2 linked regions of the Xenopus tropicalis genome follow. The main gene of each other region encodes a partner of the protein of the gene in region 2 in a complex. Links are inferred from orthologs where the notes say so. Each region holds a gene or a part of one and is shown on either strand. Other genes may lie near its edges.

Region 1 (7,698 bases), on a different chromosome or scaffold from region 2:
AGAAAGGGTATGAACTGTTCAGGTTAATCTTCATTGATGTTGCATTAAAAGAAAAGTGAAGTAACTAAAACACTTCCCTTTAAAATATAATGCGTTTATAAGTTTGTCTGTGCTAAATACAGTGCTCATTTGAAGTGGTGCTACAAGTTTGAATGAAACTAATAATAAAGTACATCAAACTTGAATATACAATGTAATTAATGGCAAATCATAGAAAAGGTCATGGCTATCACCATGGAAATCAGATGAGGCTTTCATGCAATGTGCATTAGCGCTGAGTTTATCCTGGTGTTGGTCATGTAATGACTTGGACACAGCCATTAACTCAGCTAGCACTTTGTGGGAAATGTTGGAGTACTGACACAAATATGCAGTGAAGAGTTATTGGGTAGCATTTTGTTCTGCAAAGGCTTTATAGAGGGTCATTGTAGAACATCCAGTTATTATGTTTCCAACCACACTTTATCTATGCAAAAGCCATTCTGCAGGGCTCCACTGGAAGCCAACACAACCCATAGGAACCATTTACTGGGTTTTATAGGCTAAGCCCAGGCTGAAATAATGTTTTCCTAATTGAAATGTGCATGGGGCTAAATTTTTATGAAGGGACAGAGAACTAATTTGAATGCACATTGCATGGACTCATGCTGCTGGGATATGCCTTGCTTTATGTAACACAACCTCATTCTGTGCAATACATTGTAGTTTTTTTGGCAGTGTGGGCATTGCATATGGCCTCCATGCTGACTATAAAAGTGAACCTGCTGCCCAGAATAAATATTTTGTACGCTTAGGCTGAGTAAATGAGTAGTAAAGATGATTGGATTGTAAAACAAAAAAAAACTTTTGCTCTGCCTGTATTTGAGAAGGTTTTCTGCAATTGCAAAGGTATCTTTCCATTGGACAATGATCAAAGGTTCCCTCCTGATTGAATTGTATGCTTTGTGCATATGTATGTCTTTGAGAGTTAAATTAGTTTGTAAATTCCACTGGTTAGAAAGTGATGGTAAAACCATACACCATAAGATTTGCTTATTTGGTGAGGTTGCCAAATTAGCTGGTCTTTCTCCCAATATAGCCCAATATCGGGATATAGGTCCAAATGATCTAATTACAGTACCGCGAATAGCAGCCATTGGAATGAGGACCACATCAATAAGCCAATGTGGTCCCTGATACAATGGAAAATCAAGTCTGCCAGATACTTGTTGGGAATGCCCATCAGAGTGCGCCATACACAGGCAGATAAACTGCCAAATCAGTTTGAATTACCTAAATCAGAAGCTTAAATCTGCCCATGCATTGCCCCCATCTTGGCCAGATCCAAGCAAAGAGCATTAACTTTTATTTGTTTTTCTCCTCACTGAAAAAGAAACCATGCTCACATTCAGGCACCTGATAATAGAGACAACAGACCCATTGCTGGGGGAGGCAGTAGCATTCAAGGCATTGTAATGTCTAAATTTCATGGGCAATTTAAACACATATGCAAAACAGAATTGGTTAGATATTTTATCATACAATAAAAGTCAGTGAAAGGTGCCATTTCACAACCCACTGGGCAAAAACTGTGGAATCCTGGTGGGTATGTGTATCTCCATTTTCTTTGCTCTGTGAATTTATACTAGTGTGTAATTACCCTCTAGATGCAAAATAGATGCTCCATCTCATAGCAGTCACTGAAGAAGAACAGTATATAGGAAGATTCTTATTCATTCATAGGAGTTGTCAGTTCTAAACTTTACAGAACACATTTGAACCCAGCTTGATAAACACACAACTTCTTGAATAAATAAAAACATATTTTTTGACAACTGTTTGATTGAATTATAAGGCATGTTAAAGGCATAAAAATGCAGCATGTTGTGTTTAAGGAAATACATTGTAACGCAGCTGTGCTAAAATGCAGATCCTGATGCAGGCGGGTACAATCAGGCAAAATAAAGCTGAATCAAATCGCACATGAGTTTAGGCGTGCTTAATCTTGCATCTCAAACACTATATAAATAGTGTAAGTTGCATGCAGGACCTGTCTGTTCAGGGTGCTGCACATGAATATAATGTATAAACTACACTACAGCATCCAAGAATATCATGCTCCCTTGGGGCTGGGCCTGGTCCCTAATGGGAAATGATAGGTCATTAAAACCTATAGTTTCTTCTGCAGCTGTCAGGCTTAGAGTTTTGACTGTTATTTGGTTGCTATGGTTTAATTACCCTGCTGACCAGGAAGTATTAATCCAACCCCTTCACCAATATTCCTTGACCCTTGCATGTGGCGTTACTAAATATCTCATTTAATCTGCATTTTTGGTTATTCTATGGGAAAATATATTATTTGTGTCCCCTTAGGCCCCTGCTGCCAGCATTATGGTCACAACCCTTTTAGCTACTAAGCTACACCCTTACTTAATATTACAATGGGACCTTTTATAGCTTGTAATTGTGTCAAAAGAGTCTGTTGCATTTATAGGAGCATAACAATAGGCTGAGTTGGCTCTTTTGCCCCAAGATTATTTGGAGCTCAGCAGGGGCCTTTAATAATGGCAATTTAAATTTACAGGTACAAAAGCCTGTTCTAGATTTGGTACACTGGGACTACAGCCACATTGAGATATTACAACTGTGTAATCTAATTTCACAGACGAACAAATAATAATTACAAATAAGCATTAGTAATAATGTAAACCGAGTCTGATAAAAACCCATTGGGGAAGAATGAATTTGTTAGGTTGAACTGCCTAGTAGTAGCAGTGGGTTATTGAATAATAATTGAATAATGGCACTTCATGCCAAGAGAGGTCATAAAGCTTCACATTGAAAAATAATGCAAAGATCGTCTTCTTGTAGCGAAGGGTCATAACACGTATGAACGTGTGAGCGAATTCCCGGCCACATAACTTCCCAAATCACTTTAGGACTGTGTCGGACTAGAGCAGTGAGTGGGTTAAGTACTAATCTGCGCACTGGAGAAGGGAGGGGAGAAGGACTGGCCGGGTCACGTGACGGCACAAAGCTCCGGGCTCTATATGGGAAATACTTCCCGTCACTGGGCAGCTACTGTGCAGGCTGAGGGTGCGGGAAATACGCACAGTGGACAAAAGGAAAACGAAAGTGGAAGGCGAGAGCTGACCGAAGAGCGAAGACGCAGAAAGAGGGGCTGGTCGGAAGAGACTGTTCTACGTAAAGAAGGCAGCCGGTCCCTCATGGTGAATAAGAGCAGGACAAGTCAGTACTGCTCACCGTGACATTACTGTACCTCTCAGGAGAGCCGCCCAGTATCAGCAGTCAGGTGACTCTGCCTGGGACCCACATTCACATAGTACTAGTGCAACAGGAGCCTGCTGGCAACTAGTAGCCATGTCCACCTCCCCGTTGCCCAAGAAGGGATACTATAGGCAGGACGTCAATAAGACCGTCTGGGAGGTGAAGGAGAGGTACAGAGACCTGGTGGCTGTGGGATCAGGAGCCTATGGCACTGTTTGGTAAGTTGCAATGCTCCAAATATTCATGAAAGTTATCATTCATTGGACCAACACCTGTGGGTTTGTGTAATCTGTGCCAGGAATCACAGGAGCGGAGCCATATGTGTGCCAGCCCCTGCAGACTGCATTGGAGTCCTATATCATTGTAGTACTGTGAGTTAGGGTTTTGTATAATGCAGTGTATTCGATTTCAACTGGCACAAACAAATGATATTGCCATAGTACTCTACATAAGTTTCTATACCTGCCAGCTATATTGCCTTCAGCTTGCAAAAATGCTTGCTGGACCTAAAATGCTGTATTATGTCTCTATTGGCAAATGGAACAAACACAAGAACAAACACAAATTGCCAAGCTCAAAAATAGCTTGTGTACAAGCTGGGTATTCTATACATGCACAGCATTGCTAAAAAATAGGTCACATTTCTATAGAGCATTTCAGTACAAGTAAATTATATTTTTTGGCACTAATTGTCTAGTGGCAGTGTAGATTGCTCCATAGGGAAATTGTTCCCTGTTTTTCTGTCTTTTCAGACATGATTTCAATAATGCTGCTGGCTCTGGTACAAACCCCCGTGTGTATAGACCCATAGCTATACCCCATGATTATGGCACCCATGTGACATTTGTGCAGTGAACATGCAGGTAAAGACATCCCTTTTACAATTCTGGGGTTTTATTTGCATGTCTGTCATGTCTTAAATGTTCACCTCACTACCCCTTGACCAACTACCAAAGGGTTATGAGCCACCAGATGGTTGTATTGTGTTGCACTTGGCATAGCTTTGTGTTCCATTTTTGCTATATAACATTTCCTTGCTGCATAGAGAATTCTAGGCATATTACCTTGTTTATATGATTCCTGCATGATTCCTATATCACTAAGGTAAATATCCACAAACTTTACATGTTTTATGCGGGTTTAGTACTGTAAAATGGTGCAGATGAAATATGCCTCTATACCATTTACAATCTAAGCCCTGTCGCACTGAATTATGTGAGAGTATCATCATAGAGCATTTTGTAGTTTAATCAAATGTTTGAAATGAGTAATTGTCTATAAAACCGTGGGGATTAGCAATAAATAGTATGTTCCCTGGGTATTTTATCTTTATAATTTAGTACATAAACATTAATTTAAAGCTAAAATGTAGTTCTCTTTGTTCAGTTACTAATGCCCTTACTGCAGATGTAGAGAGTTGTAACATTTTACAGCCACCGCAATGCTACCAAGGATAAGGTACTGTATTGTTCACAATTTCCCTTTGCTTAAGTCTGTTGAAAAACTGATTTTCTGCTTTTACAGAATTAATTATTTCACATATTTAGAACAAGCCAAACTGTTGTTGCAACCGAGCAGGGTCAGGTCCAGGTAACATTCAAATGTCCCCTGGCTGACAGAATTGGGCAGCTAGAACCATATTTAGCATTCTATAAAAAAGCAACACAAAGGGACTGTTTATTTACTTCTGAAAACACTTTAAAAAGCAGTGTAAAATAACTGACACATTTATAAAGGCTTTAATTTTATTTTACACTGCCTGTTCATAATTAACACCACCATTATTTTTATGGAATTTCCCATTTAGGTCAATGGGAAACTTCTGGCAGAGCTAGAGTGTAAAGGAAAAAGCAGCAATGGATGATGGCTATTTATTACACGGCACTTTCAAGTGGCTTATTACTAAATATCTATGCATATTTTCTAGCTCTGGACAGACCAACTGGAGGCCCACTGTCTCCAAGTGATTTTTATGACCCACTCTAGCCTGCTCAAGGTCTGCATAGATCAGTCTGTGAGACATTATTACTTCAAAATAACTGGCAGACATTGCCCCTATTAAACTGTATCTTTTAATGTGTAATGTCTTTAAAGGATTTTTATTTTTAGGTTATTTCCACAGATTTTGTTGACTGGATCCTGTACCTAGTTAAACAGGCTGCACTTATTGGGAAATGGCTAACCAAGTTTGGGTGTTTTTCAGCAAGGCTAACAGACCCCCTGCCGTATACCCTCCTCAAATCATATAATAATCAAAATTAGAGGGGATTATAGGCAGTTGGGGGATGTTCTTTTTTCCCATAAAAACAATCAACGCACCAGAGGTCACCCCTTTAGATTAGAGGAATGGAGCTTCCATTTGAAGCAGCGTAGGTGGTTTTTCACGTTGAGGGCAGTGAGGCTGTGGAATGCCCTTCCTAGTGATGTGGTAATGGCAGACTCTGTTAATGCCTTTAAGAGGTGCCTGGATGAGTTTTTGAACAAGCAGAATATCCAAGGCTATTGTGATACTAATATCTACAGTTAGTATTACTGGTTGTGTGTATGGTTTATGTATGTGAGTGTATAGATTGGTTAGTGTGGGTTGTGTGCTGGGTTTGCTCGGATGGGTTGAACTTGATGGACAATGGTCTTTTTTCAACCCTATGTAACTATGTAAGATTGGGTTAGCCAGAACAAAATAGGTTCTTGGAAAAATCTGCCCCCTGCATACAGTTTCCTTATTACTGATAACTTGATTAGGCCAAATTGTATATGGTCAAGTAATTTATCTTCCGGGATGTACAATTAGGATTACACAAGAATCAGCATGCGTGCTTGGCATCGTGACAAGTGCCAGTGCTTGTGTTTTCTGTGCTTCTCCAGCTGTTGTTAAAGGGATTGTTCAACTATAAGTTAACTTTTGTATGACAGTAGAGCGTAATATTCTGAGGCAATTTGCAACTGATGTTCATTTTTTATTATTTGTAGTTTGTTTGTTATTGAACTTTTTGTTCAGCAGCTCTCTAGTTTATAGTTTCCGCAGCTATTTGGTTGGTATGGTCCAAATTACTTTAGCAACCAGGGAGTGGTTTGAATGAGAGACTGATATATGAATAGGGAAGGACCAGAATAGAAAATTAAGATATACAATATAACAATAAAACTGCAGCCTCACAGAGTTTTTTGGCTGCTGGGGTCAGTGACCCCCATTAGAAATCGGCAAAGCGTTAGAAAAAGAAGGCAAATAATTTAAAAACTATAAAAAAATCAATGTATAAAGACCAATTGAAAAATTGATTAGAATGATTGGCCATTCTATAACACACTTAAAGTTAACTTAAAGGTGAACTACCCCTTTAAGATGCCGCTGTCACTATCTCCAAAGAGCTGAAAACTGTTGCATGGTGATGGGTATTATAGTTGCCTTTGTAAGATTGCCCTTGGCTGTATAATAGCGCCAATAATGCATTCTCTTCGAAACCATTCATTGGACCAGCCAAATGGCAATAGCTTGCATTTCTGGTGGGGCCAAACAATACAGAACACTACACTTTTTGCCATTGACTGAAAAGTGCCATTAATGTTCCATGATGCAATACAAACACAAAGGTAACTACTGCACATGGCTGAAATATTCTGTTTTCTAGATTGGGACATGGTTCCTTCTATTGGTGGTGCCTTTGTGTCATTACATTTACGTACAAACCGGATTCCAAAAAAGTTGGGACACTAAACAAATTGTGAATAAAAACTGAACGCAATGATGTGGAGGTGCCAACTTCTAATATTTTATTCAGAATAGAACATAAATCACGGAACAAAAGTTTAAACTGAGAAAATGTACCATTTTAAGGGAAAAATATGTTGATTCAGAATTTCATAGTGTCAACAAATCCCAAAAAAGTTGGGACAAGTAGCAATAAGAGGCTGGAAAAAGTAAATATGAGCATAACGAAGAGCTGGAAGACCAAATAACACTAATTAGGTCAATTGGCAACATGATTGGGTATAAAAAGAGCTTCTCAGAGTTGCAGTGTCTCTCAGAAGCCAAGATGGGTAGAGGATCACCAATTCCCACAATGTTGCACAGAAAGATAGTGGAGCAATATCAGAAAGGTGTTACCCAGCGAAAAATTGCAAAGATTTTGCATCTATCATCATCAACTGTGCATAACATCATCCAAAGATTCAGAGAATCTGGAACAATCTCTGTGCGTAAGGGTCAAGGCCGTAAAACCATACTGGATGCCTGTGATCTCTGGGCCCTTAAACGACACTGCACCACAAACAGGAATGCTACTGTAAAGGAAATCACAGAATGGGCTCAGGAATACTTCCAGAAACCATTGTCAGTGAACACAATCCACCGTGCCATCCGCCGTTGCCAGCTGAAACTCTACAGTGCAAAGAAGAAGCCATTTCTAAGCAAGATCCACAAGCTCAGGCGTT
Region 2 (7,019 bases):
ACGTCACACCCCTGTGTTGTCTGTATTTTCCCGCCAGTCAGTGTATTTAATGTTAGCTTTCACAGTGTGTTTTAACTTTGAGAAAGGCTGAGGTGTTCAGCCGAAACGTCTCACTTTACAGTCAATCAGACGTTGCAGTTACTGAACGTGTTATCGACAATAATAACAATATATTTCTGTTTAACAAAATTATGATGTTCCCGTAATACAAAGAAATTACTTAAAATAGATCTTACTTACTGGTGATCCTGGTATTATTCTGGATACCACCAGCTGCATTTTCTGATCAACTCCACCCTGTTGATATAGTCACATAGTAAAATAAGTTCCATTAGGTCCAGATGATAGCAAAAATCCCAAATTGATGCTATGTTCAACTTGCCTCAACTGGGAGGGGGGTTATTTCAGACTCCAGAAATGTAATTAGGCCAGTGTCTGAATCATCTTTGTCCTGCAAATTAATATTAGTAAATCTGGATTTGCTAATTGCTAAAAAGGTATCTAACCCACTTTTTAAGCTATTCATAACATAATGCTCTCTATAAAAAAAACTTATCAACTGGTCAATAAGGTCATCATATTCGGCCTTAAAGGGGTTGTTCAGTGTCACTGACCCCTCCCCAGCACAGGGTTTGTGCAGAAGTGAAGGCTGAGCAGAGGAATAATTCTAAGGTAAATATCTCTTCAGCTGCACATTTTTTGTTAGCTATCTATATGGAAATGATAGCTGTATTATTGTGAATTGTTAGATTTGCAAGTGCTGTATAAAGGTTAACAACCCCTTTAAGAGTCGCTTTTCCAATACAAACTATCACAACTTGGCCAGTCATTTTTTGTAACCAAGATCTTCTATACTCTTAATCAGTTCTTTATACACTTGCCCTCTCTTCTTGTGAATCCTCACTGCTTTTTCATACAGCACAAAAACCTACTGGCCCTTTCTGCATCTGTTTGGCATTGCTTGCTACTGTCAAAGTTTACAATTAACATTTAAAAATTACTTCTTTTTTTTTAATTAGCCCACTAGCAAACATTTTAATTGTTAAACAAAAGACCATACCTATATACTGTATTGTATAGGATTTGTTAATCTTATCTCTATATCATCTCTATTGAATGTTTTAATTTTATAATTATTTATAATTGTTATTACCTTTAGGTTAAATCCAAATTTTCCTTCTTCATCTGGTATAATATGAACCAACAACAAATCTCCATTTACAGTGTCACTCTACAATATACAAAATAATTTAACTGCAGATAAACCTAGCAGATATACTTCTTTCCACATACTGCTCTGTGATGTATTCTAGACTTATAAAATTCAGTATTACAAAAACCACCATCAAGCTGTCAAAATACAGGATACTTTTCACTTCTTGTCGTATTAGTCACGATAATATCGTATTGGTGATCCGAAAGTCAAAAATTTTGACTTAGTGTGGTCTAGACAGCTGTGGAAAAGCTAAGCTTAGGGCAAGGTCACACAAAGCGTAGATCCACTTTTCTCAGCCCCGCATCATTTCCGTCGGGCTGAGAGAAGGATGTATATGTCCAAGAACAAAGGAGAGTCAGGCAATCACTCTCCCACATACAAATTACAGAATATTTAGCCAGTCAAATGTATCATTGGCAGCCTACCAAAATAATACAAAGTATATGTATGTATTTGTTCACTGAATGTATTAAAAGTGTATGTATGTGTGTTTCAGGGCTTTATGTGTGAATATCTGAGTGTGAGAGTAAAGGTGGCCACACACGTGGCGATTTGCGAAAGATTGTTAAATCCGCCACTAACCTTCAGGGCTGAAACGGCAGATAAGGAGGTAGAAACAATAGGATTTCTCCCTCCTTCTGCCGATTCAGCCCTGACGGCAGATTTTGCTCAGGCGCCTTCTATGGCGCCTGATCAAAATCTTTTTACCTGGCCGATCGGCGAGTCGACGATATTAGCAGCCTTCTGCGATATCGGTCGACTCGCTGACTTGCCATAGACGCACCGAATATCGTACGAAGCGAGGTTTTGTACAATATTATCGGTGCGTGTATGGCCAGCTTAACTCCTGACTCTCCTTTGGTCTTGGATATACTGTATACATACACAGTGGGATACACCTCCCCCACCCTTATCCATAAAACATTCCATATGTTGCCTCCTTACATTCCAGGTTTAAGGAACAATGTTAACAGATGTGGATGGTCAAGTCAAGAGTGCAACCATAAAACAAATTTCATCTCAATACATGATTTTTACACCTGTTTGAGTTCCTGTTTTAAGTGAATGGAGAATTCTGCCCTGTAAGTCCTTGTAAGTAAGTCTTGTCCTGCTCTGTCCTTGTTCCCTCCAATCTGACTCCCCGGTTTTTAACGTGGCCCTTTATTCAACTTTACACGTCTTCTGCCCGTCATGACCTTTAGCTTGTTTAATGGACTCTGCATGTTATCCACCAGCCCTTGACCTTAGACCTGTTATTTGGATTCTGTTTGATTGCTGCCAGTCCTGATCTGTTGCCTGCATTGTTTATTCCTGCCTGTTCTGTTTTCAGTTTTTTGTTATTACATTTTATTTTAACCTGCAGTTCCTGTAGCAGTGTGTTAATTAGCACACAGGCTTCTTACAAACTAGCAACTCTGACAGAGGTTTATCTGTTATATAAACAGATGCTACAGGGCTGATTATTAAATTCTGCAAATTGCACAGGTTTCTGAGTTGCCATGTAATGAGAATCTGAATTAAGTACTATTCAGTTTTGTATTGTAACTTTTACATTCTATATATGCATTATATTGTGAGTTGGTCCCTATGCTCAGGTAACTGATAGCAGCAAAGAATATGTGCTGTGAAAAAGCAGAATGGTGACTTACTCTTTAGAGACACAGACCTCACGTCTGAAGGGCTGTGGTTGCCTTGGGCTGGTACACAATCTTAAACATGTGCAGCATTTCTAGCCTACTTCTGTCAAGCTTTGTTCCCCTCCCCTTTACATACATAATCATTTAAACCAGTGGTTCTTAACCTTTCTAATGCCGCGACCCTTTAATACAGTTCCTCATGTTGTGGTGAGCCCCAACCATGAAATTACTCTGCCATAGACAATACTCTGCCATAGACAATACTGAGAATTGTCTCTGCTAAAACACACCTAGAGACAATTATCAGATTTATCTACTTTGTAGCTGCAACAAGTAGCTGGCTGCAAGTAGCCTTGTGTGTAATTTCCCTTAAAGAAGATATATACAACCCTTTCTACAGGGGTCGCCTAAGGCCATCGGAAAACACATATTTAAAAAAGGTATATATCTTCTTTAAGGGAAATGACACACAAGGCTACTTGCAGCCAGCTACTTGTTGCAGCTACAAAGTAGACAATTCTGATAATTGTCTCTAGGTGTGTTTTAGCAGAGACAGTTCTCAGTATTGTCTATGGCAGAGTATTTTTTAGTGTTTTGTAGCTATGACAAGTAGCTCCATGTGTCATAGCCCTAATTGTTGAAATATTTATATTTTTCACAATTTTTTTTTTATATTTTATATTCTTGTTGTATATTATCTAGTTATATTCTTATTCTATATTCTTGCACTAAACAGAGCAAGATCTGAACTTGAAAGCAGTCGCATTCTACTTTAGTTTCAAACAACTACAATCAATACAAGTCTAATGAGAAGACCTCTTTATAATATGTGCTCTTTATCACAAAGCATAGAAACTGTGGAAAAAAAAAATTTCTATACGGAGTACTACAGTAAAATGTTAATGTGACAAAGTCCTATGCAAAACATACATCTATTCAAATAATTTTCAGTTCTCACTACATTTTTGCACTTTAATACATACATTATCACAGTAGTATTGGCTGGAGTCATCAGTTGAACTGCTTTTCTTGATATTATCATAAGTTTCAAAAAATTGCTTATCTACACCCTCTAGCAGGTGAGAAGACGTTGAATGGCTTGATAACCCACTGGGAGAAGCTGGTTGATGCAGATTGTTTTCTTTTGGACTGTGTTCCAGTATGTTTCTAAAAAATGCAAAATCAAAAGCATAATGTTACACATTAGTACTGCAATAAGAATACAAGAAATATGCAATAACTAACGTATTCTTACATTTAGGTTAAATAAAAATACAGCAAATAACAATGTTTTAATTATACTTACAATAAGGTTAATCTCAATTTAGTGTTTTTTTGTGTGATTTCAAGAAAATAATCAGAAAAATCTGAAAACAATACTTTGCTTTACCAGACTAACTTTTAGTACCTTTTTGGATTTTTATTTTCCTATTATAATGAAAAAACACAAATACAAGAGTATTGTAGAAATGATACCTATATTGGGTAACAATAAAAATACATTGCAGGCTTTCGAAACTCTAAGGCCCCTTCGTCAGGCAAATACAAATGAAAACTGGAATGGCAAAACATATATACTATTAGATCAGAGAGAAGTGTTCACGAGCAATAAATTAGGAAGTTACAGATAACTTGTGAAGATAATAATAAAAGTAATTAATGTTTATTAGGATGGGTTGTAAATATAGTCCAAGGGTCTGGATTCAGTCAGGTCACATAGTGTGACATGAAACCTGAACCAAATTAAGGCCCTGTCTTGTGTATGTTAAATAACTCCATACATTTGAATTCACTAAGCTTCCTTTCTCCTTCAGTTTCAAAGTTCCCTTTTAGAATTAAAACCTTAATGTCCTGAAGTCTGTGGAGTCTTGATTGCAGAAGTGTTGTCCCACTGGTGTACCACACGCTTTGGTCTTGATCTTATGTCTGTGATGATTCATCCTTGTGCGTAGTTTTTGCCCTGTTTCTCCAATGTGCATTCCTCCTGTAGGGCACTTAGTACATATGATCATGTACACCACATTGGAGGAAGCACATGAATAGCAGTACCGAATGATGTAGGTTTTTTGTGTATTTGGTATTGCAATTTGATCTTTGCACAGGATGTATTTGCAAGTTTTCTCAGAGCCTGGCTAAATACAATTGCATCAAATGTGATGTGGATGGAAACTGTCCTACCTAAGATATGCTAGACGGCCTCTTGGTTTTTGGTATAAGAATGTATGTATGATTCCATTTTTGATGTAGATGGTGGTATCCAGGAAATGGATTTGTGAAGAGGAATGGTTAAGGGTACGGTTAATTGTGGGATGAAATTGGTTGAATGTTTGGTGGAATGCCATCTAAGTAAATCATCTATATACCATAAATAGGTCAAAGGCCTGGTGTTGCAGGAAGCCAGGAAATTTTCTTCTAACTAGGCCATAAACTAGTTTGCATACTGAGGTGCCATTTTGATTCCCATAGCACTTCCCATCAGTTGGAGGTTTATGGCATCTCCCAAAGGAAAATAGTTGTGTGTTAGTATAAATCAGATTTGTTGTAGAGTGGGCATACAAGATTTTTCAAGGAAATATTGGCAGGCTGCAATACTATCTTCATGTTGGATGCTGGTATAAAGAGATTTAACATTCATGGTAGCTAGGCTGGTGCCCTCTGGAAGTGGACCTATGACAGCCAGTTTGTTTAAAAGATCAGTTGCATCCTGTATAAAACTGTGGGGGGGACAGGCTACTGATGACTTAGTTTAAGTTCCTTTGTATATTTATGAGTTGGATCCTGTTCTATTATTACCACAGCATGCCCTTTATCAGCTGGTTTAATTATCAAGTCTTTGTTGGTTTTCAAAGCCTGTATAGCATTTTTCTCCTAGATATTGATATTGTAAATCAACTTCAATTGCTTGGCCAGTATATTAGATATAACTCTGTTTCTGAAGCAATCAATGTATTGGCCCAGTTTCTGGTTTTGTCCTGGTTGTGGTGTCCAGTTGCTCTTCTTTTTTGTTTTGATTAAATGATTCTCCAGGTTGTCGTCTGGTGTTATATTCGGCCTATCATGGAAGAAGTCTTTGAGTCTTAATCTCCAGAAAAATCCTCCATGTCATTGCAGAGCTCTGTTTTATCAAGGCTTTTGGTAGGGCAGAATGTCAGTCCTTTTGAGAGTACTTTGAGTTCCACTGTACTAGGTTTATAGTAGAGGTTAATCACAGAGCAGTCAGTGTTGGAACGCATATTTTGTTTCCTAGGTGGGTCCATAGTCAAGCCTGCCTTTAGTTTCAGTCTGTCAAGTTTCTTTCTTTTGTTTTGGACCAGATATTGTAGACTTTTGTTATATTGTTGCAGTGCCTGTTTGATGCTGTCTGCAATCGGTCCATATAGTTTACCATTCAATAGATTAATTTCATCTTGAATGCTCTTCTTGTTACTGTAGGATATTTTGATAAGGTGATTTTGACGCATTTCTGCAGTTCTGAAGCATAATTTATGTGCAAAGTGGTTGTTGTAGGTATTCTGATTAGAATTTTTGAATTTGAGTCCTTTTCAATCAGGTTTTCTTTTTTGCACTTTGTTAAAAAGAAAATGTTGCTGTCCAGTTGAGCCAATTTCTTCAGGAGGGTTTTAAGTCTCATCTGTATGCAGTACATTGCAGTAACTTCCATTGTAATCACAAAACAAAAACTGTAGTACCGTGTTAGCCAGTGTTAAAAATAAAAAAACACAAATACAAGATGTATATTGGCTAACAATAAAAATACATTGCAAGCTTTCAACCAATTTCATCCCACGATTAACCATTCCTCTACTCACATCAATTTCCATAACACCATCTACATCAAAAATAGAATCAGAAAAACATGCCTATACCAAAAACCAAGAGGCCATCCAGGATATCTTAGGTGGGACAGTTTCCACATCACATTAAAAAATCAATTGTTTTGGGGCGTGGCCTGGATGTGCATGCAGGCGGACGTGAGATAAAGAGCTACTTGAATTGGTCTTAATCCAGCTTCACACAGAAATAAGACAGTTGGACCCCTCTCTTACCGCAGATATGTCATCCAAGGGTAATAAGAAGCATCCCCAAGCAGATTTAACATCTTTCCTGGCTAAGGCAACCCAGTCGAGCTCCAGGCCGGAACCAGGCGAACACGCAGTTTCGGAGAC

Evidence for each region.
Region 1: the proteins of ptpn3 (region 2) and mapk12 are in contact, whole or in part, in a crystal structure (PDB 4QUM), measured with the Homo sapiens proteins. The link is inferred for Xenopus tropicalis from reciprocal best matches to the Homo sapiens genes PTPN3 and MAPK12. Residues at the interface, in NP_002820.3 of Homo sapiens: Arg655, Leu671, Asn674, Arg675, Tyr676, Lys677, Asp678, Val679, Arg751, His812, Ser843, Ala844, Gly845, Ile846, Gly847, Arg848, Met883, Gln886, Thr887; in NP_002960.2 of Homo sapiens: Met182, Thr183, Gly184, Tyr185, Val186, Val187, Arg189.

What each region holds. Positions count from the first base shown.
Region 1 is NC_030679.2:71,610,907-71,618,604, forward strand, and holds the start of mapk12 (mitogen-activated protein kinase 12), read left to right. Parts: upstream 1-2,993; 5' UTR 2,994-3,360; coding exon 3,361-3,485; intron 3,486-4,019; exon of another isoform or gene 4,020-4,130; intron 4,131-7,698. UniProt on the Homo sapiens protein: Serine/threonine kinase which acts as an essential component of the MAP kinase signal transduction pathway.
Region 2 is NC_030682.2:75,261,599-75,268,617, reverse strand, and holds part of ptpn3 (tyrosine-protein phosphatase non-receptor type 3), read right to left. Parts: intron 4,021-7,019; coding exon 3,837-4,020; intron 1,232-3,836; coding exon 1,154-1,231; intron 298-1,153; coding exon 241-297; intron 1-240.